Oryctolagus cuniculus: one gene and its partners. The protein of the gene in region 1 interacts with the protein of each later gene in a biochemical or structural test. Links are inferred from orthologs where the notes say so. Each region holds a gene or a part of one and is shown in the gene's direction. Other genes may lie near its edges. The genes, in order: HNF4A, MED1, SREBF2, NR0B2, CREBBP and NCOA6.

What was found.
Region 2: the proteins of HNF4A (region 1) and MED1 form a complex in vitro, tested with the Homo sapiens proteins (2 studies listed by BioGRID). The link is inferred for Oryctolagus cuniculus from reciprocal best matches to the Homo sapiens genes HNF4A and MED1.
Region 3: the proteins of HNF4A (region 1) and SREBF2 form a complex in vitro, tested with the Homo sapiens proteins (2 studies listed by BioGRID and IntAct). The link is inferred for Oryctolagus cuniculus from reciprocal best matches to the Homo sapiens genes HNF4A and SREBF2.
Region 4: the proteins of HNF4A (region 1) and NR0B2 form a complex in vitro, tested with the Homo sapiens proteins (4 studies listed by BioGRID). The link is inferred for Oryctolagus cuniculus from reciprocal best matches to the Homo sapiens genes HNF4A and NR0B2.
Region 5: the proteins of HNF4A (region 1) and CREBBP form a complex in vitro, tested with the Homo sapiens proteins (4 studies listed by BioGRID, with this or other methods). The link is inferred for Oryctolagus cuniculus from reciprocal best matches to the Homo sapiens genes HNF4A and CREBBP.
Region 6: the proteins of HNF4A (region 1) and NCOA6 form a complex in vitro, tested with the Homo sapiens proteins (2 studies listed by BioGRID). The link is inferred for Oryctolagus cuniculus from reciprocal best matches to the Homo sapiens genes HNF4A and NCOA6.

Annotation. Positions count from the first base shown.
Region 1 is NC_091442.1:14,692,556-14,697,196, reverse strand, and holds part of HNF4A (hepatocyte nuclear factor 4-alpha), read left to right. Parts: intron 1-950; coding exon 951-1,103; intron 1,104-1,927; coding exon 1,928-2,070; 3' UTR 2,071-4,641. UniProt on the Homo sapiens protein: Transcriptional regulator which controls the expression of hepatic genes during the transition of endodermal cells to hepatic progenitor cells, facilitating the recruitment of RNA pol II to the promoters of target genes. Activates the transcription of CYP2C38.
Region 2 is NC_091448.1:22,905,319-22,910,441, forward strand, and holds the start of MED1 (mediator of RNA polymerase II transcription subunit 1), read left to right. Parts: upstream 1-1,914; 5' UTR 1,915-2,136; coding exon 2,137-2,161; intron 2,162-4,717; coding exon 4,718-4,824; intron 4,825-5,123. UniProt on the Homo sapiens protein: Component of the Mediator complex, a coactivator involved in the regulated transcription of nearly all RNA polymerase II-dependent genes.
Region 3 is NC_091442.1:117,806,808-117,811,448, forward strand, and holds part of SREBF2 (sterol regulatory element-binding protein 2), read left to right. Parts: coding exon 1-95; intron 96-537; coding exon 538-719; intron 720-2,335; coding exon 2,336-2,612; intron 2,613-4,641.
Region 4 is NC_091438.1:144,600,145-144,605,266, forward strand, and holds NR0B2 (nuclear receptor subfamily 0 group B member 2), read left to right. Parts: upstream 1-1,735; 5' UTR 1,736-2,009; coding exon 2,010-2,550; intron 2,551-3,384; coding exon 3,385-3,626; 3' UTR 3,627-3,951; downstream 3,952-5,122. UniProt on the Homo sapiens protein: Transcriptional regulator that acts as a negative regulator of receptor-dependent signaling pathways. Specifically inhibits transactivation of the nuclear receptor with which it interacts.
Region 5 is NC_091450.1:31,799,719-31,803,955, forward strand, and holds the end of CREBBP (CREB-binding protein), read left to right. Parts: coding exon 1-1,781; 3' UTR 1,782-2,883; downstream 2,884-4,237. UniProt on the Homo sapiens protein: Acetylates histones, giving a specific tag for transcriptional activation. Mediates acetylation of histone H3 at 'Lys-18' and 'Lys-27' (H3K18ac and H3K27ac, respectively).
Region 6 is NC_091442.1:23,350,580-23,355,220, forward strand, and holds part of NCOA6 (nuclear receptor coactivator 6), read left to right. Parts: intron 1-1,626; coding exon 1,627-2,743; intron 2,744-4,641. UniProt on the Homo sapiens protein: Nuclear receptor coactivator that directly binds nuclear receptors and stimulates the transcriptional activities in a hormone-dependent fashion. Coactivates expression in an agonist- and AF2-dependent manner.

The DNA of each region.
Region 1 (4,641 bases):
GGTTTAGCTGCATCTCTGGCTTCTACCCATGAGATGCTAATAGCACCTCCCAAGTGGTCACAGCCGAAAACTGTGTTCAGGTCTGGTGAGGTCGTCCCAGGTGGAGAGCCAGTGTCATGTGGCTCACTTCACCCTCACCTTGACTCTGAACATGGGCTACGGCGAGTCAGGTGTCCGTGAGACCAGGATCAGGAGCTTATGGTCTGTTGCCAGATGAACTTGGATAAGCTCATCTCCCTTTGCTTGTTAGCTCACCTGTTAAAGAACAGGGCAATAATGGTGCCCACTTTGCAGGATTTTTGTGAGGATTGGATTATGTAAAACATGAAAAGTACAATAAAAAGAAGTCCTAGGCATGTGATAGGTGCTCATTAATTATTGGTTATCACAGAAACAGCTGGACTTTAGAGGTCTCTTTTTATCTATTTATTTTATTTTATTTATTTGAAAGAGTTACAGAGAGAGGTAGAGACGGAGAGAGAGGTCCTCCATCCACTGGTTCACTTCCCAAATGGCCACAATGGCTAGAGCTGAGCCAGTCTGAAGCCAGGAGCTTCTTCCGGGTCTCCCACATGGGTGCAGGGCCCAAGGACCTGGACCATCCTCCACTGCCTTCCCAGGCACATCAGCAGGGAGCTGGATCAGAAGTGGAGCAGCCAGGACTTGAACCCGTGCCCATATGGGATGCCAGCGCTGCAGGCTGGGGCTTTAACCTGCTGTGCCACTGCACCAGCCCCCTTTCCTTGTTTCTTTCAAATCACTTTTGCCCTCTTGATTTTGGGGTCCTCTCCATGCCCCATGAAGCCCAAGTTTACTAACCCAGGAATGGGTACTCAAGACGTTGGATGGACAGGTGATGAGCCACACCTGAAGAAGATGGGGGTGCTTGGGGCCTCCAGTTGGTCCCAGCTGAGACACTGTACCCTGATTTCTTCCTTTTCTGCCTACAGGGTCCTCCAGTGATGCACCCCACGCCCACCACCCCCTGCACCCTCACCTGATGCAGGAACACATGGGCACCAACGTCATTGTGGCCAACACGATGCCCACTCACCTCAGCAATGGACAGATGTGTGAGTGGCCCCGGCCAAGGGGGCAGGCAGGTGGGCAACCTAGGCTCTCCCTTGGGATGGGTGAGGATGGGTCCTAAGAGGAGAGGGTTAAGGCTAGAAGGCGGCACTGGATACAGCAGACCTCTGTGCTCCAAGTAGGGAAGGGCGAGGCTGATTGGCTGTTGGGTTATTCAGTGAGGTGACTGACAACCTCCACTGAGTGAAGCCATCCACCGGGTGAGCGGATTGGGTAGGAATCATGGGGAGAGGCAGTCTGCTCATTAATTATACATAATTAATAATAATGAATAATAATTAATGGCACTTCATCATCCACTGGCTGATGATAGTTACTGGAGAGAATTCCATTAGTAACACAGTCCACTCGTGACAACTGTCCATCGAAGTGAAGCTGCCCGGCTGTGGAAGGCCATCCATTACACGGTGGGAGACAGTGCACCGCACAGGGATGTCCACTGGGTTAGAGGTGAACTCTCCCAAGAATGAGTTCATCATTGTTGAAAGCCTGTCAAAAAATAAGATTAGCAGTGGAAAGAGGAAGCCCCTGAGATGAGATGGCATTTCACCGAGGTTGTTCTTGGGGTAAAATTGTCCAGTGAATGAAGTTGGCCAATTTGGTTAGAGTTTGCTCTAAACCTGCAGTGGAGATGAAGCCAGTTAGTTTCTGTTGCTCATCTCCTAAATATCAAAGAAGTGGTATTTTTAAAGCCAGTGAGCCTTGGGTCTCATTATGTTAATTTAAGTATTAGCTAGCTTAATGTTCTCAACTTATAGAAGAGGAGACTAAGTCTCAGAGTTTATTTGCTCAGCACAGGCTGGGATCTTGAGCGATCTCTGTCTCTTTGTCCCTCCAGCCACCCCTGAGACTCCACAGCCCTCACCACCAGGTGGCTCAGGGTCCGAGCCCTACAAGCTCCTGCCGGGGGCCATCGCCACAATCGTCAAGCCTCCCTCTGCCATCCCCCAGCCAACCATCACCAAGCAAGAAGTCATCTAGCAAGCGGCCGGGGGTCGGGGGCTCTGCTGGCTCCCCCCAGCCCCCTCAGAGAGTGCCTGGTGATCACCTGGTCACATCAAAGGGAGGCATGACAGCAGGGCCAGTCCCAGAGCAGTAAGGGAAAAGGCAAAGGGCCCAAGAGTGTGGGCTGAGGGCCACAGCCCATTGCCACCCTTTAGCACCCGAGCCCTGGATGGTGGGGCTTTGACTTGGGGAGCCCTTAGCTGGAGAGTCCTCTGCTGCCTTGGACAACTTTTCCATGTTGAAGCCACTGCCTTCGCCTTCATCCACACCTCCCCCAGCTTCTTCACCCCCAAAGGTCGGCTGTCCGGGACACTATGGGACCTTGCTCCAGCGCTGCTCCCGCCTCCTCCACCGGCATCTCTGCTCTCCCAGTGTGGTCGTGGCATCCAGAAGCAGAGCCCTGTCAGATGGCAGCACCTCGTCCCTCCCCCTTCTGCTGCCCCAACCCCAGATGCCCTCTCCACCCTCCACTATCACCGGCCTCAGCCATCCTGTCTTCCCCAAAGCCACCTCTCTGCAAGACTCAGCACCAATTCCCAAGTCATCTCAGGAACATTCCAGAAGCACTGGCTGGGACTCGGCAGAGCACAGGAAACACACCCTTCTCCTCTTCCAACTGCACGGGCGCTTCCCTTCCCTGGGCTGGGGTGGATGTTTGGAGGGGTGACCACTGTAGGCGGTCCAGAATAAGAGAACAATCGCAGGCTGACAGCTGCAACAGGACCTCAGGGGGAGACCTGGGTGGGGGGGGTGGAGACTGTCTTGGAAACTAGGACCAGGCCTTTGAGGGAGGGGAGGGCTCTGAACGGTAGCGCAGGTGAGACGGGGTATCCCAAGGGAGAGCAGCCTGGGTGAAGGCCTGGCCCCTGAGGCAGGAAGAATGGTGCTATGAGCGGAACAGGCTCTCTCGAGTCCACAGGGCAAGCAGGGGAGCAGGGGGCCTTGAGTGTCGGTCTGAGGCCAGGAGTCGTCAGGGCTGTGCACCGAGCTGGGATTTCAGAAGACGAACATGGCCGTCCTGTGGAGGTTAGAAGGTTGGGAGAAAGCAGGGAACTCAGGCAGGGTCAGGATGCAATGCCGGTGAGAGCGATGAGGCTTGTAGACGCGGAGGAAGGGGTGGGGGAGTCCTTGGGTGGGCTACGAGGCGGGAGCGTCTCCCAGGACTGTCTCCTTGCTCCTAGGCACCGTCCTAGGCAGTTGGCAGGCATCAGCTCATTGCGTTCTCCCTGTTGGCTAACCATGATTGCAGAAGATGAACCCTTAAGAGGTTAAGTGATCTTTATTGGGGGGGGGGAGGCTTACACTGTAAGTAGGTGGCTGAGTCAGGACTTGAACTTGGTCCCCCTTGATCGAACAGGAGCGCTCAGAGGCCCCTCTGTCCCCACCGTGGTTGAGCTGAGGGTGGAGCTGACTTCTTGATACCTTCACCAGCCTCAGAAACCAAAAGCTCACTCTTCTCAGGAGCTCCGCCCACCCCCAGCACGAAGATTGGCTTCATGCCGCACTTACACTCACGTAGGGACCAGAATCCTGTTTGCTGCTAAGTAGGAAGGGGAATTCCCGGCTCCTCGCCCCTTTGCTGTCTCTCCCCCAAGTCAGGGCAGGCAGCAGGGATCCGGTTCCAGCAGGACAGGCCCCTATGGCCCGGCCGCCTGTGGGTGGGAGAGTTTGAATGAGTGACAGGGCCGAGGTGAGATGGCCTGGGTCTGAGGGATGCTGTGGGGTCTGTGTCATCCACGGAGCATCCTGGGAGCATCCAGCCCTGGCGCGGAGCAGATGGCACTTCATTCATACAGAATCCTGGTGGCTCTGGGGAGTCTAGAAACTGCCACTGGCTGGTGGGATAACAGGGATGTGTCCTGAAGCCGGAAGTGTGATGACATAGGACATCGAATTCTCAGGTTCTCTCGCCCAGGGGTGCCCCTTCCTAGCTTACGGGGCAGCGTGCGAGGGCCCACCGTTCACCACTGTTACTGTTCACCAAAGAGGCACAGAGAGGCACTGGGCCCTAGGCTGAAGAGGAATCCACACCCCCAGAGTGGTCAGGAGCGGCCTCCCCCGCTCCACCGAGCCAGACTCTGGTCCCAGCAGATGTTTGCTGCTCCCGGCTCAGAGTCGCAGGCCTGCCTCAGCCACCCTCGCTCACTCCAGCGCCCCAGGAGTCGTAGCCAACTGGCTCAGACTGGCCTGCGTCCCGCCAGGGAGGCGGGGAACCCACTGCTCACTCTGGTCACCCCACTCTCGGGCTCTCCACCTCCTGGCTGCAGTCTCGGAACACGGCTGAGAATTTCCCAGGGGGCGGAGTGGGCTGCACGGCAGCCTTCAATGGGCCTGTGCTCCCACCCCACCCTTTCCAGAGAAGTCCATTTCCCTTTGCGAGCTTTATTGCCAGGCAGGAAACGAAACGTTTACTGTCTCGTTCCAAGTGGAAGACACCACACTGGAGATTTTTCCTGCCTGCGTAGTGGTCCTAACACATAAAACCTGGTGGGGGGGTGGGGGTGTAAGCATGGGCACATTAATCCCTCCACCAAGACACCCCCTTCA
Region 2 (5,123 bases), on another chromosome or scaffold:
TGCAACACAGGACCTCAAATCAGGGATCAGAAAGTCTTGCCTTTCTTGCCTAAAGGGAAAAAACTTTACTTAATTATTTGAGAGGCAGACAGAGAGAGCTCCCATCTGCTGGTTCACTCCCCAAATGCATGAAATGGCTTGGGCAAAGCCAGTAGCCAGGAATTCAATCAGGGTGGTGGTAGGGACCCAAGTACTTGAGCTATTATCTGCTGCCTCCCAGGGTGTGCATTAGCAGGAAACTGGATTATAAGTAGAGCCAGGACTCAAAACCAGGTACTCTGATATGATATGTGTGCATCCCTGGGCATCTCTTAACCACTGCACCGAACACCTGCCTGGAAAATATGCTGTTAATCCCAACTCAAGTGGAGCACTGTTAGTCTGCTTTCAAGGAACCAAGTACTCTGACGTTAGGATGCAAATGCCCACTTTGGAACAAACATTTAACTTAGATTTGAATGAGAGCTGAAAGGGTTGGATAAAGGGGAGGCTTCCCAGCAGTTAGAAAGGCCTGTAGAAGGACCTTGGGAGGAATGCAGGAATTCTCCTCCAAATGAGGGAAAGTCAGTATGCTGGGGATTGGGACAGGCAGAAAAGCTGGATCTAGACAGGCTTGGTAAGCCAGTAAGATTGGCTACCAGGCCTAGGTACAGTGCTAGGGAGTGATGATTCAGTAACACGGGGCCATTTCTGCCCCTACGAAATTCACTATGTATAATATGACTCCAAAGAATGACGATAAGAGGAAAAAAACAATAAAAGTGTAATCCTATTTTCAAGGGAATGTTATAATTACCTTTGTGGCAGTAAAGAAACAAGTTGCCAGGTTATTTTTTTTTTTTTTTATCAAATTTATACTGCTGTGCCTACTCAGTTGAATTGCAGTTATTTGCTGAGATGGCTCTGGATATGTGAATGCTATTTTTTAAATGTGGAAAAAATCTGAGACTACAGTCAGTAGAAATTCATTGCTTAAGCAGAAGATGGCCCAAGTCCTTGGGCCCCTGCACCCGTGGAGGGGGGGGGAGGGCAGCAGGGGGACTTGGAAGAAGCTTCAGGTTCCTGCTTTGGATTGGCTAGGTCCAGCAGTTGTGGACATTTGGGGAGTGAACCAGCAGATGGGAGACCTCTCTCTCTGCTTCTGTAACTCTACCTTTCAAATAAATAAATCTTAAAAATAAAAAAGAAATTCATTGCTTAATATTCTTGCAGAAAACTAGGTAAGATCCTACTTTCCAGCCGCATTTTTGAAGGATGTATATGAGAAAATTCTTTTTAAAAGTAGCCTTTAAGCTCCAGTGGCCATGCACTTGCCAGCATTGCTATGGATTTCTCTTCATGAGGATTTATTGACACAAGAGAGAAGACTACACACTGTGATCTGCAGTGGAGATACAAGCTAAACTGCATGTTTCCACCAAGACACAGTGATAACATGCACTTGCTGCTGAGAACAAGTTTATTTTAATCCAAAGCACTTCAGATTTTCAAAACTGCTGCAACTGCTCAAGAAATATTCCTGAAACTTAAAAAATATTAGAAAATGGTAATTAAGTGTCCTAGGCAGCCTTCAAATGTCGTGTTACAAAGAGCCAGTGTTTTTATGACAGTTTTACTGCATCTAGCATATAAGGGAAACTCTACTGTATTTGATAAAACATTTCAGATACCAGTATTCTTTGAAAATCTAGCCTGTAAAAAAAAAGGGGTTCTGTGGGTTTAGTTTCCAAACTAACGGCTAAAATGAAAATGCAAGTTTTCGTACAACAACCGAACTCTACCTGCTCGCAAGTTCAGAACGAAGTACCCAAGAGCTAAGAGACAGCCGGATTTGGAAGAAATCTCGCGGAAGTACGTCATTCACCTCTCGCGAGACTTCAGTATCCCGTCGCTTCCTTTCTCGCGCAGGATCACGGTTTATCTCGCGAGCTTTAGGAAGTTCCGTTGGGGAAGATGGCGGCGGCCGCAGGCACCCTTCTCTTCTTGCCACCGGGGACTTCAGACTGAGCCTTCCCGGGAAGAGTAGGGACTGTTGGTGCCCTGCGTCCCGGGAGCCCGAACTAACGTGGCTCTCCCATTAGTGGAAGGAACGGGCTTCTCCTCTTGTGGCGGACCCAGGCCCTGCCCGTCGTCAGGATGAAGGCTCAGGGGGAAACCGAGGGTGAGTGACAGTGGGGGAAAGGAGGGGGCGGGACTCAACTGGGGGCAGCCAATCTGGGCGAGGAGGTGGGGGCCGATGCCCCGTGGGGGCCGCTTTCGCGGGGGCACTGAGTCCAGGATGCGGGATGTGTGTGTCTTAGATGCTCATCATGCCTTCCTTGATGGTGATAGAGCGCTGACTTAGGGTGGTGGGGGCTCCCAACTTGGGTGAAGATTTCCTTTTTATATAGAGACAGTACCTGGGGCTTCTGGGCACTTTTAGCCTAAAGTGGTGGAAGATCAGGCGAGTGAATATATTAGCTGTTTGCAACTCATTCCGGAAGAGACCATTGAATAATGGCCTAAAAACAGCCATACGGAACCGTGTATCTAAAAGTACTGGAGAGTATTTTGATGTGAATGATGTGATTTGGTCCTGAGGATACAAAATGCCTGCACTTCCTAAAAGTCACAGTGTTCCCATCGGTGGCCGGACTGATTTAGAACTGTTGAAAACGACTTTTTCTATGGAAATTTTTACTCCGATTCTCTGGAGTTCCACACTGCACTTTCAATCACAGCTTACTTTATTATCATTGTTCATCCTTCCAGTTTGTTCTGAGCTTTGTAGATCAGGGGGCTGCCCTATTCATTTTTTTTTTTTTTAAAGATGTATTTATTTGAAAGGCAGAGTTACAGAGAGAGAAAAATCTTCTACCTGCTGGTTCACTCCCCAAATGACCGCAATAGTTGGAGCTGGGCTAGGCCGAAGCCAGGAGCCTCCCCAGCGTCTCCCATATGCGTGCAGGGGGCCACTCTCTGAGGCCATCCTCCGCAGCTGTCCCAGGTGCACCATCAGGGAGCTGGATTGGAAGCGGAGCAGCTGGGCCTTGAACCTTTGCCCATATGAGTTGTCAGCATCCCAGGTGGTGACTTCACCCGCGATACTACAACACCGGCTCCCTTATTCATCTCTGTATAATCTCTGGCACATAGTAGTTGCTCAGAAAATGTTTGATTTGAGTTTCAGACTAAGGACGTTTTACAGAATGCTTCTCAAGAAAAAAAAGGGGTGTGATTTGAAGGAGAAGAAATGTGTGTCCCTTGGGTGTAAAGTGGAAACACCATCAGGCAGGAGTTTTGTATGGTTTGCTTACTACTGTGTCTGCAGCACATACAATTGTGCTTGAATGAATGGCTTGATAGTGGGAAATAGGAATGTGCCCAGAGCAATCAGCTGGCTGAAGCAGCCTACAAACCAGTTTTCCAGAAGATGAAGGCGTGAAGGAAGGAGTCTGAGTCTTGACTGAGATCATCTTGCTGCCTTAACTCTGACCTTCTATTTATTTTTCAGTGCCAGTGTCAACAGTCTGTTTTTTTTTTTTAATGTCTCCATATTGATTATGTACTTTTCCTTCTTTGCTATTCAGTAGTAATGTCTCTGCTTTTAAGAGCATTTCTTTTTGCACCAATGGTAATTCCCATGTTAACTTGATCACACTGCCTCACAGATGTCACCTCAGGCATATCTTGTTATTATTATTATTATTATTATTATTATTTTTAACAGGCAGAGTGGACAGAGAGAGAGAGGTCTTCCTTTTGCCGTTGGCTCACCCTGCAATGGCCGCCGCAGCTGGCACGCTGCGGCCGGCGCATTGCGCTGATCCGAAGCCAGGAGCCAGGTGCTTTACCTGGTCTCCCATGCGGGTGTAGGGCTCAAGGACTTGGGCCATCCTCCAATGCACTCCCGGGCCACAGCAGAGAGCTGGCCTGGAAGAGGGGCAACCGGGACAGAATCCGGCGCCCCAACCGGGACTAGAACCCGGTGTGCTGGCGCCGCAAGGCGGAGGATTAGCCTATTGAGCCATGGCGCCGGCCCTCCTCAGGCATATCTTGTGTTCCTTTCCAGTGGCCCCAGCACAGGTCTTCGCTCATACATGGCAGTTCAAGAACTAGGGGAGGCTCGAAGGGTTTAAGAGGTTCATTCATATTCTTAGTTCAGGAGCTGATCCTTTCTGCCTTTCTCTTAACCTCTGTTGGAAATTCATCTTTTGGTTATTGATTTCTTCCCTGTCCATATAATTTTAGCTATATGGAAAAATATGAAACATCAGATAGGCAATTAGGGTCTGTTTTCTTGATCATACTTATCAACCAATCTCTTAAAATTATGGCCAAAAATTAAGGAAGTATTTTCACATTGAAAATCAGCTAACCATTGTAAGACCATGTTCAAATGTATGCTCTCTATAAATATTATACAGAAATTTCAGGCATGTTATGAAAATGACTGTCACTAAGTTGTAGGCATGGTCGTGAATCATGATTAGACTCGGTTCCTTTTTGGGTTCCCATTAAAACCTTGAATGGAATGTCCTATGGTGTTCCTTTTATCAGACCCATAAGGTATGTGTCTTCTCACCTTTAAAAATATTTTCTTTATGTGGTTTGAAGAAATTATATCGAAAAGTAGTTTAGCCAATTCTTAGATTCGGCTGTGTGGGGGTTTCTTTTCCAAGAAAAACGAGGTCTTGATAAAGGAGTTTCTAATGATGTTTTCTGATTTATGTCGTAGAGTCGGAAAAGCTGAGTAAGATGAGTTCTCTCTTGGAACGGCTTCATGCAAAATTTAACCAAAATAGACCTTGGAGTGAAACCATTAAGCTTGTGCGGCAAGTCATGGTGAGGATTGTGGCAAGTGGGTAAAGTGTTATACTTAGATAATAAGTAAGCTCCCTGTGTCCAAATTAGCTACAATAGTGTCTTCAGATTTATTTATCATAAAACACTGGAATATATTGGAGCTTTTCAGGGACCTACCTAGGAAGGAGCTATCCATTCATCCTGGTTATCTAAGGGGGATTGTTCCAAGATCCCCCGTGGACATCAAAATCCCCATTTGCTCAAGTTCCTGTTATGAAATGGCATGGCATTTGCATATAACCTATGCACATACTCCTATATACTAGAAATCATCTCTA
Region 3 (4,641 bases), about 100 Mb from region 1:
CCCCCTGACCTCGCTGCTGCAGTGGGGCGGGGCCCACGACACCGACCAGCACCCGTCCTCCGGCTCCAGCCGCAGCGTCCTCTCCTTGGAGTCAGGTAGGCTGGCTGGGCAGCCGTGGCGGGAGGACTGCGCGCAGACCGTTCGCTCCCCTGGTAGATCCCAGGTGCTGTTGCGGCCCCCTCTGCTTGCTGCCTACAGGGACTGCCCAAGTCCCGTTTTAGAAGTAAAAGGCAGACGCACGTTCAGGTGGAGAGGACAGAAAAATGAGGAACCTGCCATGCAGGAGTTCCTGGGAGGGGGCGGGGGAGGGGGAGTGTGCCTGTCTGCAGGGGGAGGGGTGGTGCGTCTCGGCTGAGTTGGAAAGCCAGCGTCCTGATCCTCTGGGGCTAGCAGAGATGCGTGTGGAGCTCAGTGTGGCGGTGACAGGGCTACAGGAGTGCCGTGTAGACCATGGGCCGCCGTGGGGCAGAGGCTCTGGCATTCACTCCGGGGTCCGTGGGGCCCTTGCTGAGTGCACCCCCACCCCGCCACGCCCAGGTCCCACAGGCTGGCTTGACTGGGTGATGCCGACGCTGCTGCTGTGGCTGGTCAATGGGGTCATCGTCCTGAGCGTCTTCGTGAAGCTGCTGGTCCACGGGGAGCCGGTGATCCGGCCACACTCGCGCTCCTCCGTCACCTTTTGGAGGCACCGGAGGCAGGCGGACCTGGACCTCTCCAGGGTGAGTGCTGTCCACCCTCAGCTTCCTCCACAGGCTCCCTAAGAACTCGGCAACCTGTGTGGAGTCCGGTGTGGGTGGGTCCTGTGGGAAGGGCTGTGGTACAGATGGCAGGGGCCCTGCTCCTGGCAGGGGTGGACGGTGGGTGATCTCCCATCCGTGCTGTGCCATGGGAGGAATCAGGTGCCGTGGCGGGTGGAGGCAGTGCAGCCGCCTTCTCAACGGGGGGATCTGAGGCTTGGCAGAGCGCTTGGGGCAGGCAGAAAGGTGGGCGTGGCAGGAGGGCCTTCCAAGCCAGGGCTGGGGACCGTAGTTTGTGCTAAGGGCCATCTGGGTATTCGTAGCATCATCTGGGAACTATACAAAACTTTGAGCTCAGACATCAGCCTGCTGTAGATGTATTGAATTTCCAGTCCCACCTGCGCTTGCCTCGCCTGGACCAGACCACGTGAATCCATGGCCTTCCCCGGCCCGTAGCCCTCAAGGGCTGTGTGGTGGACGGGTCCGGGGTGTGGGGGACAGCGGCCGGTGTGCGGCCCACGTTGGAGGGACCTCACTAGTAACTGATTCGGGCTTTATTCCCAGTGCTCTGAGAGCCAGGGAAGGTTTTGGAACAAGAAAATGAGCTGGAAGTCAACACAGGGCAGCCTGTGCAGAAGAGTCCAGGGCGACCCAGGGCACCGGAGGAGGAGCTAAGCAGTCACATCCCAGGAGGGCAGCAGGCGGCACGTTCCCTGCGGCCAGCCACACGCCCGCTCTGCCCTGTGCAGGCGACAGCTGTCAGTTGAGAACCTCATTGGCCAGTCTGTGTCCGTCAGCCGTGGCCAGGGCTGTGGGTCCTAAATGTACATGAGACCTGGGGGCTGTTTCCTGGACAGCAGTGTCCACAGGCGGGTGCAGGTGCGTGCAGTCTGTCCATGTCGGTTCTGCTGCCACCTTAGAGGTGGTCACTCGGAGGGCACCTCCAGCCACTGTCCCTCATCTACTCCCATAACCATAGGAGACGCAAAGCACGGGCCATACCAGCTCATGTCGGGGGTAAGGAGGGGAGACTGTGCTGCGTTTCCCAAGACCAAATAGTGGGCCTGGGGCTTCGGCCTCCCAGTCTAAGGGGTGGCCGGCGGGGTCTGCAGTGCAGCACCGTAGACTCCCCCTTAGATCCATCAGGGCAGCAAAGGTTAGCTGTGGTTTGGTCTGAAACCGTGGTCTCCAATGTGGCAGACATGAGACTCACCCCGCAGGCCCCGCCCCCGAGGGTTGTGACTGGGTCTGGATGGGGCCACGCGTCTGCATTTCTCTCTCAGGACTCCAGGGACTGCCCCGAGAGGCCACGGCCCTGCAGAGCAGGCCGTCCGGGTTCCTGTGTCCGTCTTCGTGCGGACGTCCCCTGCGTTTGCTCACAGAGCGCCCCGGTTGGCGGGAAGGCGGGAGGCAGTCCCTTGGGTATCAGCAGGACTTCCCTGGGGAGAGCTGAGAGCCGGTTCCACTTTGTCGTGACTTCCTGGACTTCCCCAGATGCTCCTCACTGGTTATGGATTCTGTAGCCGTGAAGCAGAGGAGCGTGGAAGTCTTGCAGCCAGACCAGGACCCTCACACCCAGCCCCCTTGCTGCTTTGTAGGGGGATTTCGCAGCTGCCGCCGCCAACCTACAGACCTGCCTGTCGGTTCTGGGCCGGGCGCTGCCCACCTCCCGCCTGGACCTGGCCTGCAGCCTGTCCTGGAACGTGATCCGCTACAGCCTGCAGAAGCTGCGCCTGGTGCGCTGGCTGCTCAAGAGGGTCTTCCAGCGCCGGCGAGCCCCCCCGGCCACCGCAGCCGGCTTCGAGGACGAAGCCAAGACCAGCGCCCGGGACGCAGCCCTGGCCTACCACAGGCTGCACCAGCTGCACATCACAGGTGGGGCAGGCTGCCTTCCTGGCTTGAGTGCCCCTCAGGGTGGCTTGCCGGGTCTCCACCCAAGCTCTGACTGCTCTGTCATCTTTCAGAGCGGGTGGTCCAGCCACAGTCCCGTGGTTTGTGGGTTGTAAGGTGCCCACGGGAGGTGTCCCATAAACAGTGACGTTGGCGGTTTACCTGTAGTGATTCTTAGAGTAATGGTGAGACTTAACATTGATGGCATTTTAAGTTCAGTGAAGTAGGATCATTTATTTCATTCAGGAAGCTCCCAAGCTCATGGAAGGGCAGAGCGGTCAGCGAGTGAGTGACAGTGTGCTGAGTACGTTAGACTCGGCACGGGAGCCTGCTGTCCCTGGGAAGGCCGAGCGTTCAAGAAACTTCCTGGCTTTGTGGGAGGAAGTGTGGAGGTGGCTAACTTTGCAGGAGGTGGGCCTGCCGGGCGGAGCCTGTCCCAGAGGTTGGCGCGGTGCCTGGACCACGAAGGATCCCGGTGCCAGTGTCTCGGCGAGGGTGGAAGGAGGGTGATTTGTGTGGTGCATCTCACCTTTAGATGGCTCGCTCTGGGACAGCTGGAAAGTGGCCCCGTGGGGGGCAGGGTGCAGTCGGGGCGGCCAGACTGAACGTGAGAGACGCTGGGAGGACTGACGGAGGGACGGTACAAGGGGGACTTGACTGGACTGTGGATGTGCCTGGCAAGGAAGGGGAGTGGCTACCGTGGCTCCTGGCCTCTTGCTGGGGTACTGGGGAACAGTAATGCTAACGACAGAAGCAAAGAAAGCAGGAGAAAGCGCTGTTCCCGGGGAAGAGGCGAGGAACTCCAGTTTGGACTCCTGCCATGAGATGGGAGGGGAAGTCAGTAGGCAGTGACGTGCTGGCTCTGCCGCCGGGACAGAGCGTGGCTCGGGCCTGCAGGTGAGAGTGACAGCCGAGGGAGCTGCCCGGGGCTGCCGGAGGACACCCGCACACAGGGGGCGGGCAGAGGCCGCGGAGGCGGGGTGAAGGCTGCCAGGGGTGGGGGGCAGTGGGAGAGGTCCGAGGAGACCCCAAATGCCCGGGGTTGGAAGGACGAGGGCCGAGAGGGTTGAGGAGGGAGGTTGCTGCTGAGAAGTCTGACGAGGGCCAGGAGTGGTCCCAGGGAGGCTGGAAATGCCTGCTGACCGCCAGGGGCTTCAGCCGGAAGTGGGGCAGAACCAGGCCCCGAGGAGATGAGGCGGTGGAGCCGGCGTGCGGCGTCAGCACCTGTGCCCGTGTAGAGCCTCAGGAGAGATGCTGCCTTCTGTGTTGTTCTGCTCCGGGCCTTCGTGTGCCCGCGGGCAGGACGGGCCCACACCAGGCCTCTGCCTCCCGGCTGTCCGGCTCTGTAGACTCCCAGCTGGGAAGCTGCACAGCTCTCAGCACTTGTGGTCCAGAACCTGTGCGAGGCACCGGGGACCGAGAGGACTGAACACGGGTCCACATTCCCTCTGCCCTGCTTTCCTGCCGGGAGGCAGCAGCCGGTAGGAACAGAGCCTGGCACAGAGGTCTCCTGTGCCGCTGAGAAGACCAGGGAGACAGGGCCTCCTGGGTGATGCCAGAGCCCCGGCTGGCCGCTGCTGGACCTTGGCGCTGGCCTGTGCCACCTCCCAGCCCTGTGCTGAGGACCAAAGCAGGTGACGCCATGCAGTCTCGGGAGAGCTGTGGCGGGCCCTTGGGCTGTGCGAGGCCACCTCGTCCCCGGACTTCTATGTCACCAGGGGAGTGTGTAGTGAGTGTGCCCTGGCCGTCCACCTACTGTCCAGCATCTGTCATTGCTGTCTTACATTTCTTCTCCCCTCAAAGAAATGTGTGCTTCTAAACTGGGGATTTTAAGTACAAACAAACCCAGTCGGTTTTTGTTTGTTACTGCTGCTGAATTTGGCGGGGGACTTGGGATGGTATGAGCAGAATGTGGCCATACTGTTGACACTGCATAAAAAACGGTGTGCAGTAATGTGGACAGCCCCGTGACACAGAGCCGGGTGCCATGTCCTCAGCCACCCTGGGAGGTGGA
Region 4 (5,122 bases), on another chromosome or scaffold:
CCGTAACAGCCATTTTGGGGGTGAACCAACAGAAGGAAGACCTTTCTCTCTGTCTCTCTCTGTCTAACTATGACTGTCAAAAAAAAAAAAAAAGAATAAAAAATTTGAAGACTGGTATTGTGGCACAGTGGGTTAAGCTGTCACCTGCAACCCTGGTATCCTATACCCAGTGCTGGTTCAAGTCCTGGCTGCTCCACTTCCTATCTATCTCCCTGCTAATGCACCTAGGAAAGCAGCAGAAGATAGCCCAAGTACTTGGGGTCCTTGCCATCAGTGTGGGAGACCTGGTTGGAATTCCAGGCTCCTGGCTTCTGCCTGACCCAGCTCCAGCCATTGGGGCCATTTGGGTAGTGAACCAGCAGATGGAAAATCTCTAAATAATAAATAAATAAATAAATAAATAAATAAATAAATAAATAAATATTTTAAAAAGACACTTTTTGATCAACCATGCAAGAGGAAAGATAAAATCACTTCTCTATTCTCACTGTAGAAAATAGTTTTTTAAAAATGATTGCCAGCCCCCCCCCCCCCGATCATGGGGTTATTCTCTAAGAGATTGATCCAGAGCTCTCTGATGAACTGGTTGATTCCAGGGACTGGGGAGGTTGATATCAGAAAACAAAGGAAGGTTCCAAGAATGCTGAGAGCAGATCAGGAGGGGGCTATCAAAGGCCAAATCTGTGACAATCTGGGCATCAAAATAGATAATGAAGGGAGGGTGTTGTGGCACAGGGCGTTAAACCACCACTTAGGACACCTGCATCCCGTATCAGAGTGCCTGGTTTAAGTCCTGGCACACTTCCAATTCAAGTCCCTGCTGAGGTCCCTGGGAAGCAGAGGATGATGGCAGGTGGCTGGCCAGGGTGGGCTGGGCAAGGTCTAGAGACCTCCTCACTCTCTCTCTCTCTAGCCCCATTGGCTACCGTCTGAGACGGATGTCAGGATGGAGGAGCCGTGTGGAAGTAGAGCGCCGTTTCTGTCCCAATCACAAGCAGGCCTGGCCCCACTCTGGGGGACTCAGGCCCTGGCTGCACAGTTGAGCCGGTGCGTCCCGAGGAAGGAGCCAGGACTTTAGGGTCAGGCAGCTCAGGGTCCCATTCCTTCCTGGAGGGATGGCTTTGGACACGTCACGTCACCCCTTTGGGTCTCACAAAGGAAGAATCCGGAGTCAACACTAGCTCTCAATATTGGATCGGAAGAGGCCTGGCCCCCAGCAAGTGCTCAATACAGGCAGCTGTGGTTTGTGCTCATTCTGGAAGGACTTTTCCGCAGCCATGACCTTTCAGGAGCTCTAGGTATCCAAAACTGGGACAGGGGAGTCTGCAGCATTGGGTTTCTGCAGGGCCCCCAGAACTGGAGTCAAAGGAGGGGCCACACAGCACAGTGGGCAAAGTCCTCCCAACCCCCCCACCAGGGTCCTGGCTCCCTTCCCCACAGCCTGTTTCTTACCAACAACACGAGCAGGGCCCCAAGGTTAGGCAAACAAGCTAGTGATAAGGCACTTCCAGGCTGGGCCTCGCACTCAAGGCTCGTCCAGCTCCAGAGCTGGCTTCCAGGCTTAGCAAGAGCACTGGCCTTGTGCACACGCAGGAGCAGGCACCTTTAGGGACACCAGCCACAGCCACATGCTGATTGTGCACCGGAGGCCTTGGTGCCCTGGTACAGCCTGGGTTAATGACCCTGTTTATCCACTTGAGTCATCCGATAAGAAGCAACCGGTCAGCAGGCAGGTGGCCCTGTGCCCCGCACTGGCTACTTCATTGACTGAAGTGATATCAGCGCCACGTGGAGCTCCTAACGGCCCCGCCCTCGCCACTTCCCCATCAGTCCTGCCAGGGTCAGTGTGCGTGTGCGTGTGTGTGTGTGTGTGTGTTTCAATGAACATGACTCCTGGAGTCAAGGTTGCTGGCCCATTCCTCCCTCCTGCCCACTGGGGATATAAATAGCGCTCGCAGCACAGCACAGAGGGCAGAGAGCAGGGAGGCAGTAGGAGTGGAGCCGTGACCATGAGCTCCAGCCAACCAGGGGCCTGCCCGTGCCAGGCCGCCGCAGGCCGCCCGACCATTCTGTATGCACTGCTGAGCCCCAGTCTCAGGGCCAGGCCCTCTCTCCCTCCATCACGCAGCCACTGCCTGTGCAGGGAGCATCGGCCCGTCCGGCTCTGCAGCCCTCATCGCACCTGCCGGGAGGCCCTGGACGTTCTGGCCAAAACAGTGGCCTTCCTCCGGAACCTTCCGTCCTTCGGCCGCCTGCCGCCCGAGGATCAGCGGCGGCTGCTGCGTGGCGGCTGGGGCTCCCTCTTTCTGCTGGGTTTGGCCCAAGACATGGTGACCTTCGAGGTGGCTGAAGCCCCTGTGCCCAGCATACTCAAGAAGATCCTGCTGGAGGAGCCCAGCTGTGGGGCCAGCAGTGGCCAGCTCCCCGACAGGCCGCAGCCCTCGCTGGCTGCCGTGCAATGGCTGCAGTGCTGCCTGGAGTCCTTCTGGAGCCTGGAGCTGGGCCCCAAGGAATACGCCTACCTGAAAGGAACCATCCTCTTCAACCCTGGTGAGCTTCCAGACACTTCTGGGTGGAGCTGGGAGGGGGCACGGGGCACCCTCCGAGGGCTCAGTATCTATTATACTACTGGGTCCCACAGGGCCATCTCACACGAGGGGCTGAGTGGCTAGCAGGTGGGAGCAGAGCAGGCGTGAGAACTCGGGCCGGGCCGGGCCCCCTGACCCTTTGAGGGGAGGGCGGCTGACACAGCCGCGTCTCAGCACGCTCTCAAGGGCAGGTGGCGTGGCGAAGCTTTGAAGGCTAAACTCCCGTGTGGGGTCAGAAAGTTCCCATGGCGGGGGGGATGGGGTGGGGTGGGGTGGAGAATGAAGGAGGTGCGGGGGAGGCAACTCAGCGGGGAGGGCTACAGATAGAGATGGAGATGGTGTCCTTTGTAATCTGGGGGCAGCTGAGGAAAGCGTGCCATGCCAGAAGGTCCTTGTGCCCACTGACTGCCCTCCCCGCAGCAGAACCTCATGGTGTGGTTACCATACGGACCTTTAGATGCGCTAACTCCTTTAACCCTCACGGCAAGTCTTGGAGACAGGTGCGGTCATTATCATCTCCACTATACAGATAAAGAAACTGAGGCACAGAGATTAAGCACCCTGCCCAAGGTCACTCAGTCATCAATGATGGTGCCAGAAATCCAATCCAGGCAGCCCGGTCCTTAACCCTTACCTTATATGGCCTCGCTGTCGATGGATAGATAAATAAAGTGATAAAGAAATCGATGGAGGAGGTAGTAGCGGAGCCTTGAAGGCTGAGCCGACGAGGCAGGTGATGCCTGCTGGTGGCGGGGAGAGGGTGCTTACCAGACCTGTCCGTCCTCTCTGCTCACAGGCGTGCCAGGCCTCCAGGCCACCTCCCATATCGGGCACTTGCAACAGGAGGCCCACTGGGCGCTGCGTGAAGCCCTGGAGCCCTGGTGCTCAGCAGGCCAAGGCCGCTTGGCCCGAGTCCTTCTCACGGCCTCCACCCTCAAGTCCATTCCGGCCGGTCTGCTCGGGGACCTCTTCTTCCGCCCCATCATTGGAGACCTGGACATCGCCGGCCTCCTGGAAGACATGCTCCTGCTGAGGTGACATGCTGTGGCCCAGGCAGGGGTCAGCCATAGCCTGTGCAGACGCTGGCCATGCCACTTCAGCCTGCCTGTCCCCAGGGGTGCCCCGCTGCTCCTGCACAGCCCCTCTCTCAGCCACCTCCGGACTGGGACTTCCTTGGCATGGACGTGGCGCTCCAGCTGTCTGGCAGGCCCTCTGTGGTCTCCAGAGGCTCTGCGCCCAGACTCCTGTCCCCTCCTGCTGATGGCAAAGGACTGAAGCTGCTCTTTGGGCCGGGGGAGTCCTGCTGGCTTTGTACAGAACTGAATTTAAGTTATTGGTTTTTGTAATAAAAGGTGTGACACTCTCCGAGCCTGCCACTGTGTTTTGGGCACACGACAGGGACTGTCTCACCTCCAGGGCCCACCTGCTCCTATCAGAGGAGGGCAGGGGTCGTAAGGGGCACAGGAGCCAGGCCTCAGGAAACGGGGGTGTGAGTTGTTCTGGCTGGGATGGCGATTTCATCTCTGAGATGAGATTCATTTTGCATGTGGGGGAGTTCTCAGCACACAATGTCACCTCCTTGCCTTTATCCTTGGAGCGAGAAGGCTCTTCTCCCTGTCCCACGCCTTCCACTAACCCGTCTCTCAGCGCCCGAGCCCTGCAGACTCCCTCTCTCCTCAGTGAAAGTTGGATCAGAGCCGGTCAGGAAGCAGCCTGTTCCCAAATTGAAACAGACCAGGTGACTGCAATGTCTGCAGCTTGGGACCCGTCACTTGGCCCATTCCTGCAGCTGGTAGCACAGGGGGGTCCATTATTTCCCAACAGGAGAGGGCAATGGCACCCGGGGCTGGCCTGGCAGCTACTTGGAGGCCAGGGCAGGCCAAGGTTCCGCTGGCTCACGATGGTGTGGCCTCATCTGTTGTTGGAGTCTGAAACACTTCCGCAACAGTTGGTTCAGGGCCACCACCTGTAGCTCCCTGAGTGCCCTCGCACCGCCCCTCTCCCATTATCTGTTAACCCAAGAGCCAACGCGTGCCATAGCCATGGCCTCTGCACTGCTTCATTCAGAGCCGGGCTTGGGGCTGTTCCGATCAGCCAGTGTCTGTGCCTCATCGTTCGTTAAATATTTGAACCCACTCTCCCCGGGGTCAGGGTGACTGACCTGAAGGGTGGACAGGAGGGAGCGATGACAACACCCTCGCCCGCGGGACTTCCAGGCCTCCTTTCCCCAGCAATGAGGCTGCCAGGCCCCGCCCCCATCACCACCACAGTTTGGATTCTTCTCACGGGGGCTGTTAATTATTGCCCAGTGAGAGGTCATTCACTTGGGGACAGCAGCCTGGGGGGTCATCATCCAGGCCTTTCTCTAGGGCCTCCTGCTGGGACCACAGCCGAAGTTGCCTGTAGGGGTGCCCAGTGCCAGCAGCAAGCAGCAGCACCCCGTCCCTTACCCAGCACCCCACATACACACACACACAAGTCAGGCACCAGAAAGACACAGAAGCACAGAGCTCCAACCACACAACCAAGACCCA
Region 5 (4,237 bases), on another chromosome or scaffold:
TCTGCCTCAACATCAAACACAAGCTTCGCCAGCAGCAGATCCAGCACCGGCTGCAGCAGGCCCAGCTCATGCGCCGGCGGATGGCCACCATGAACACCCGCAACGTGCCTCAGCAGAGTTTGCCTTCTCCTACCTCAGCTCCGCCCGGGACCCCCACGCAGCAGCCCGGCACGCCCCAGACGCCGCAGCCCCCTGCCCAGCCCCAGCCTTCACCCGTGAGCATGTCACCAGCCGGCTTCCCCAGTGTGGCCCGGACTCAGCCCCCCACGACTGTGTCCGCAGGGAAGCCCACCAACCAGGTGCCGGCTGCCCCGCCCCCTGCCCAGCCCCCACCCGCGGCGGTGGAGGCTGCCCGGCAGATTGAGCGAGAGGCCCAGCAGCAGCAGCACCTCTACCGTGTGAACATCAACAGCGGCATGCCCCCCGGGCGCACGGGCCTGGGGACCCCCGGGAGCCAGATGGCCCCTGTGGGCCTGAATGTGCCACGGCCCAGCCAGGTCAGCGGGCCTGGCATGCCCGGCATGCCGCCTGGACAGTGGCAGCAGGCGCCCCTCCCCCCGCAGCAGCCAATGCCAGGCATGCCCAGGCCTGTGATGTCCATGCAGGCCCAGGCAGCCGTGGCTGGGCCCAGGATGCCCAGCGTCCCGCCACCCAGGAGCATCTCGCCCAGCGCCCTGCAAGACCTCCTGCGGACCCTGAAATCACCCAGCTCCCCGCAGCAGCAGCAGCAGGTGCTGAACATCCTCAAGTCCAACCCGCAGCTAATGGCAGCTTTCATCAAACAGCGCACAGCCAAGTATGTGGCCAACCAGCCCGGCCTGCAGCCCCAGCCCGGCCTGCAGGCCCAGCCCGGCATGCACCAGCAGCCCGGCCTGCAAAACCTGAACGCCATGCAAGCGGGCGTGCCTCGGCCTGGGGTGCCCCCCCAGCAGCAGGCAATGGGAGGCCTGAACGCCCCGGGCCAGGCCTTGAACATCATGAACCCAGGACACAGCCCCAGCGTGGCGAGCATGAATCCTCAGTACCGGGAGATGCTGAGGCGGCAGCTACTGCAGCAGCAGCAGCAGCAGCAGCAGCAGCAGCAGCAGCAGGGCGGCGGGGGCGTGGCCGGGGGCGTGGCCGGGGGCATGGCTGGGCACGGCCAGTTCCAGCAGCCGCAGGGACCTGGCGGCTACGCCCCCGCCATGCAGCAGCAGCGCATGCAGCCGCACCTCCCCATCCAGGGCAGCTCCATGGGCCAGATGGCCGCTCAGATGGGACAGCTCGGCCAGATGGGACAGCCGGGGCTGGGGGCGGACGGCACCCCCAGCATCCAGCAGGCTTTGCAGCAGCGGATTCTGCAGCAGCAGCAGATGAAGCAGCAGATGGGGTCCCCAGGCCAGCCGAACCCCATGAGCCCCCAGCAACACCTGCTCTCAGGACAGCCGCAGGCCTCCCACCTCCCCGGCCAGCAGATCGCCACGTCCCTCAGCAACCAGGTGCGGTCTCCAGCCCCTGTGCAGTCTCCGCGGCCCCAGTCCCAGCCTCCACATTCCAGCCCGTCACCGCGGATACAGCCCCAGCCTTCGCCACACCACGTCTCGCCCCAGACTGGTTCCCCCCATCCCGGACTCGCAGTCACCATGGCCAGCTCCATAGATCAGGGACACTTGGGGAACCCTGAACAGAGTGCAATGCTCCCCCAGCTGAACACCCCCAGTAGGAGCACACTGTCCAGCGAACTGTCCCTGGTCGGTGACACCACAGGGGATACGCTAGAAAAATTTGTGGAGGGTTTGTAGCATTATGAGAGCATTGCGTTTGCTCCCGTTCGTGCCCCTGGACTTTTGTACTGAAAATCCAGGCGTCTAGGGCCTTTTTATTCCTAGACGGAACTGCTGCTTCCAAGCCATGGAAGGGTGGATTGATGTTTAAAGAAACAATACAAAGAATATATTTTTTTGTTAAAAACCAGTTGATTTAAATATCTGGTCTCTCTCTCTCTCTCTCTCTCTCTTTCTCTCTCTTTGGTTTTATTTTTTTGTTTTTGTTTTATTTTTGTTGTTGTTTTTTTCCTTTTTGTTTTTGGGGGAGGGGGGTTGGTTTGGATTCTTTTTGTCATTGCTGGTGATTCATGCCTTTTTTTAACGGGAAAAACAAGCTCATTATATTCATATTTTTTATTTGTATTTTCAAGACTTTAAACATTTATGTTTAAAAGTGAGAAGAAAAATAATATTCAGAAACTGATTCCTGAAATAATGCAAGCTTATAATGTATCCCGGTAACTTTCTGATGTTGCGGGAAGATTTTTTTTCTATAGTGAACTCTGTGGGCGTCTCCAAGTATTACCCCTGGACAATAGGAACTGACTCCGGTGTGCACACACGTACACACACCCACACACACATCTATCTATACGTGCTGGCTTAAGCCAAACTCTTGTCTTGCAGATGTAGAAATTGTTGCTTTGTTTCTCTGATAAAACTGGTTTTAGACAAAAAATAGGGATGATCACTCTCTTAGACCATGCTGATGTTAATAGAGAAGAAGCATTCTTTTCTTTCTTCTATGTGAAACTTGAAATGAGGAAAAGCAATTCTAGTGTAAATCATGCAAGCGCTATAATTACTATAAATAAGAAAACTCGAGAAGATTCAATCACTGTATAGAATGGTAAAGAACCAACTCATTTCTTATATCATATTGTTAAATAAACTGTGTGCAACAGACAAAAAGGGTGGTCCTTCTTGAATTCATGTACATGGTATTAACACTTAGTGTTCGGGGCTTTTTTGTTATGAAAATGCTGTTTTCAACGTTGTATTTGGACTATGCATGTGTTTTTTCCCCATTGTATATAAAGTATCGCTTAAAATTGATATAAATTACTGAAGTTTTTAACATGTATTCTGTTCTTTTAAGATCCCTGTAAGAATGTTGAAGGTTTTATTTATTTATATATATTTTTGGAGTCTGTTCTTTGTAAGACATGGTTCTGATCGTTCACTCGGAGTGGAGAGGCGGAGCCTGCAGTCTGGGGGTGGGGGTGGGTGGTGGGGAAGCCCGCCCGGTCTGAGCGGCCGCCTGGGGACGGCGCCCCGCAGCCCTGCGCCGCGGCTGTGAACAGCACTGTGCTTCCAGCTCTCGTCCCCGTCTCCCCTCCCTTCTTAGCCAGCTGCCCCCGTGCAAGGGCTTCCTGCCTTTCTAGCCACAGCGCCTGTTACGGATGCCAAGGGTGCCCCGGGGACCTGGGGTGGTTCCTGTCTCCCCCTGAAACTGCACTCAGCAGTGAGGATGGTGCCAGGCAGACTGTCCCACGTGCCACCAGGACTGAGGGCCCCTGCGCTGTCCTGCGGCTGCCGAGGGGCAGGGTCCTGAGCACTGGCTCCCAGCCCTGCTTGGAAGATGTCCCTGCACACGCACGCTCCCGGAGGGGTCCAGTGACCTGAGTTCACTCAGCACTGGACAGGTCCGTGCTTTGGGGGGGACAGCTGGCAGCAGACGTGGGCCGAGCCTCTGCTTCTGCCCCCCCACCTCCAACACACACTCGGGAGGACTGTCTGCTCTGTCCCTTGTCCTCCAGCCAAAGGCTGGCCTGAGTGGGGCGGGGAGGTGCTGTGGTGTTGAGAAATCACGGCGCAGGTAACCTCCATTTGGCCATTCTGGTCACAGATTTTCAAAAATACTTGAATACCTAACTTGAGAATCAGCCTGAGGAAACTAAGGTGCAATCTAGTTTTAGTTACACAGTTTTGAAACTTGAGTTTTAATAATGTAGATGAGGCCAGGTAAGAGTAAAGTCACCAGCTAACAGCCAGCCCTGACCAGTCCCCGTGTGCACCCCACCCCCGCGAAGGGAAGGCAGCGCCGTGGCCCTCCAGTGCGGTCCTGCTGTCCTGTCCACCTTCTGGGCCTTGCAGCTCAGTTCCTATGCCACCCTTCCCACCGAAGGGGAATCCCTGAGCCGGGGAGCAGCCCCACGCCCACACTCCCGAGGTGGCCTCTCCCAGATGCGCAGGCAGCAGGGGCAGCTGTTTCGGGTTGTCCTGGAGTTGATGGCTTCCTACGACCAACCTCATCTCTGGAGTCTGCATCGTGTGCAACCGTCGCGGGCCATCCACGTGTCAAAGGACGCAAGCAAGGGTGTGGTGTGGATACTGACGCTAGGCTAGTCGTGACCAGGCTGGAGAGCCTGGGCGCTCTTTCTCATGCTGTATGCTTAGGAGGAGGAGAGTCTTACATTTGTGGTCAAAAG
Region 6 (4,641 bases), about 8.7 Mb from region 1:
CCCAAGTCCTTGGGCCTCTGCCAGCCACATGAGAGATCTGGATGAAACTTATGGTTCCTGGCTTTGACCTAGCCAAACCCTGGCTGTAGTGGCCATCTGGAGAGTGAACCAGTGTATGAAAGAGTCTCTGTATCTCTACCTCTTTCTCTGTCTCCTGTAACTCTGACTTTCAGATATATATATATTTTTAATAGGGGCAAGGGTTTGGCACAACAGTTAAGATGCTGCTTCTAAGGCCTGCATCCCATATCATAGTGCCTGGTTTGAGTCCTGGCTCCACTTTCCATTCCAGCTTCCTATAATGCACACCCTGGGAAGGCAGCAGGTGATAGCTGAAGAATGTAGGGCCAGCCAGGTGAGAGACTGAGATTGCACTCTGGGCTTCTGATTCCAGCTGTTTCAGGCATTTGGGGAGTGAGCCAGCAGATAGAAGATCTCTCTGTGTCTCTCTGCCTTTCAAATAAACATTAAATGGGGGGAGATAATGCAAGTAGCTATAGCAAAACCCCAAAGACTCAACAATAGATAAGCACTGAAGCAAGGTAGGCAGTACCTTTTGTCTAAATTAGAAATACCTGAAAAAATAGAATGTATCCCCTGTAATCCACCAAGGACTGCCACAGGGAGGGTCACTGAATTTTTTGAATGATTCCTTTATTTTTTCACAAGCAGAGTGACAGAGAGAGATGGAAGAGACAGGAAGAGAGGTCTTCCATCCACTGGTTCACTTCCCAATGTCCTTAACAGCCGGGTCTGATCCAGACCAAAGCCAGGAGCCTGGAACTCCATCCAGGTCTCCCACATGGGTCAAAGGGGCTCAAGCACTTGGGCCATCTTCGGCTGCCTTCCCAGGTGCATTAGCAGGAAGCTGGACCAGAAGTGGAGCAGCTGGGACTCAAACCAGCACTCTAATATGGGGTGTCAGCATTGCAGGTGGCAGCTTAACCTGCTGTGCCATAGCACCAGCCCCATGTGTTTTAACAGCCTTCTGTTTGCAGCTTCCAGGTGGGTTTCTAGTCAGTAGACAACCACCAGAGGCTCAGCTTCCAGATCAGGATTAAGTAATTTTTTTTTTACTTAGTCCTTAGGAATTATTTGATGTTCATTGAAGTACAGCATCCAGATATTGCACCCTACCTTTGAAATTCATTATTAGTTTTCTAAGAAGCATTTTTAAGTGTCTTCTCAGTACTGTTTTCCTAAAATGACATGGCACATTCTTTGTTTCCCTGGTCATTTATGCAGAACTTATTTCACTAGCTTAAAGTGCTTTTTGTTAATTTTTTTCACTTTCAGTAGCTGTAAGTCAAGCTAAAACAATGAGATGCTGCCTTTATTTAATGTGAAAGAAAATAAACTTTAGTGCTTTTTAAAATATTACCTTTAAGTTACCACACAGGAATTAAGAACTTGTTTATCCTTCTCTGATGTATGATCATTGAGAATGTAAATAATTTTCTGGAGTCACTTCTCTAGGAAGCTCACAGAAAGTATGTCAAAAATCACATTTATATTGGTCAGTGGATATATGACTATTGGATATCTTCCAGAGTAAAGTAATTTGAGTATCTTAATATCAATACCATCATATTTCTTTCTGAAACTGTTTCTTTTCTTTTTTTAAAGGTGGTCAAGGAGCTGGTCCTCCTCAAAACCAGATGCAGGTGTCCCATGGGCCACCAAATATGATGCAGCCCAGCCTTATGGGAATTCATGGCAACATGACCAACCAGCAGGCTGGCAGTTCTGGGGTTCCTCAGGTGAACCTGGGCAATATTCAAGGCCAGCCCCAACAAGGCCCACCATCTCAGCTGATGGGCATGCACCAGCAGATTGTGCCCTCCCAGGGCCAGATGGTCCAGCAACAAGGAACTTTGAACCCTCAGAACCCTATGATTCTTTCAAGGGCCCAGCTTATGCCACAGGGCCAGATGATGGTGAACCCTCAGAACCAAAATCTTGGACCCTCACCCCAGAGGATGACTCCACCCAAGCAGATGCTTTCCCAGCAGGGCCCACAAATGATGGCATCACATAACCAGATGATGGGGCCTCAGGGGCAAGTTTTGCTCCAACAGAACCCAATGATAGAGCAGATCATGACCAATCAGATGCAGGGGAATAAGCAGCAGTTTAACACTCAGAACCAATCCAGTGTCATGCCGGGACCAGCGCAAATTATGAGGGGACCAACTCCAAACATGCAAGGAAACATGGTGCAGTTTACGGGACAGATGTCAGGACAGATGCTGCCCCAGCAAGGGCCTGTGAACAACAGTCCATCTCAGGTTATGGGGATTCAGGGGCAGGTCCTGCGGCCTCCAGGGCCCAGCCCACACATGGCCCAGCAGCATGGTGATCCTGCCACTACAGCAAATAATGATGTCAGCTTGCCTCAGATGATGCCTGATGTTAGCATGCAACAGACCAACATGGTCCCCCCCCACGTACAGGCCATGCAGGGAAACAGTGCCCCAGGAAACCACTTCTCAGGCCATGGGATGCCTTTCAATGCACCTTTCAGTGGAGCACCTAATGGAAATCAGATGTCCTGTGGTCAGAATCCAGGCTTCCCAGTCAATAAGGATGTCACACTAACAAGCCCATTATTGGTCAACTTATTGCAGAGTGACATCTCTGCAGGCCATTTTGGGGTAAACAATAAGCAAAATAATACCAACGTGAATAAACCGAAGAAGAAGAAACCCCCTCGGAAGAAGAAGAATAGTCAGCAGGATCTAAAGTAGGTTGTGACAAAGTTAACTTTGTCCTCTTCTGTTTGTGACAACTCTGATGAAAATTTTTAGACGTAAAATCAGTATAATGAGATCTCCCTGCATCAACAGTTATCAACTCATCACTTTTTGTGCCCTCATCTGTGTTCTTTCCCATTGCTTTCTTGATTATTTTAAAGCATATTCATGTTGTGAATGGTTAAGTGTGTATGTCTTAAGAGATAAGGACAGGCTTTTTTGTGTGATCAATCACACAATACCATTTGTACACCTAGAAAACTAATATTTCTTTTTCTAAATTCTGCTGTCTCAGCGTGGTTGTGGCTAACCAGTGCTACTTCAGTGCAGCTTCCCGAAACACAGGCCTATAATGGGAACCAGAAAGGCCAAATGTGCTTTGAAAATGAAAACTGCTTTTGGAGACTCTGCACTGTCTCTCAAATAGAAATGCTGTTTTACACAGTGCCTTCCCTTTAAAGGCCGTTTATAAAAAAAAAAAAAAAAAATGCCATTTATCTTTCCTAGAAGCTTAAGACCCCCGGCCAAGAGGACCTTTTAAATCAGTTACTCCTTCAGTAATGGTTCTCCAGTGAGTTCTACAAGATCACAGCAGGAAGGGCAATTAACAATTTATATTTCATTTCCTGAAACTAAGTATTATTTAAGTCATGTTTCTGGCTTTGATAAAATGTCTCCAGAAGGAATATTGATTGAGTTGAATTTTCTGCCTTTAATTATAAGACTGGAATTCAGATATTTATTAATAGAAACTAGTGACTACTGAATGCAAAACTGATTAAACAAATTTCTGTAACTGTAGAAAAAGAACAGGGCATCTTTATTTAAACAAGCTTAGATGTTCAAATAACACCAACTGCCTTTATACCAGCCTTCCCAGACGTTTGTGGTTATGCTCTGCTTCTTGAATCTTATATATTAAAAGCCATTTGTTGTATGTTAACAACCTATATTTTCTTTTTTAAGATTTATTTATTGATTCGAAAGTCAGAGTTACACAGAGAGAGGAGAGGCAGAGAGAGAGAAAAAAAGAGAGGTCTTCCATCTGCCGGTTCACTCCCCAATTGGCTGCAATGGCAGGAACTGCGCCGATCTAAAGCCAGGAGCCAGGAGCCTCCTCTGGGTCTCCCAAGTGGGTGCAGGGGCCCAAAGGCCCTGGGCCATCCTTCACTGCTCTCCCAGGCTACAACAGAGAGCTAGACCAGAAGTGGAGCAGCCAGGCCTCGAACCAGTGCCCGTATGGGATGCCAGCGCTTCAGGCCAGGGCATTAACCTGCTGCGCCACAGTGCCGGCCCAACAACCTATATTTTCATGAATTCAGACTAACTAAGCCCTTTAATTATCTAATTTTTCTGCCTGCTCCCACATCTATCACTAGCACACTGTAGAACCTTTGGCTTGTCTCTCACAGCTTTCTGGGCTTTTTGTTTTATCAACCATAGCTTGAAAGGGGTGGGACCAGATATCTGGAATTTTTTAGCTATATAATTCTCTGAAAGTAAAGGTTATAGAATTACTATAATTGGAAATGAGAGAAGATATATGAAGAAGCAGATTATTGTAAGGATCTGAATGTGTAGGGACCTGATTCAGGTTCTAAATTTCTATATGCTGAGAATTCATTTATTACTTTAGCAGAGAGAGAGAGCTCCCATCCACTGGTTCATTTCCCCAGATGCCTGCAACAGTTCAAAACTGGATGCTGGGAAGTCAGTCTAGGTCTCTTAGTGAGTGGCAGGAACCTGATTATTTGGGCCATCACCACTGCCTTCTAGGGTATCCATTAGCAGAAAACTGGAGGCACTCCAGTATGAACCATGGACATCTTAACTACGAGGCCAAACACCCAACCCTGCTAAGGCTTTTAAGATAGAATCTATGTGGCTT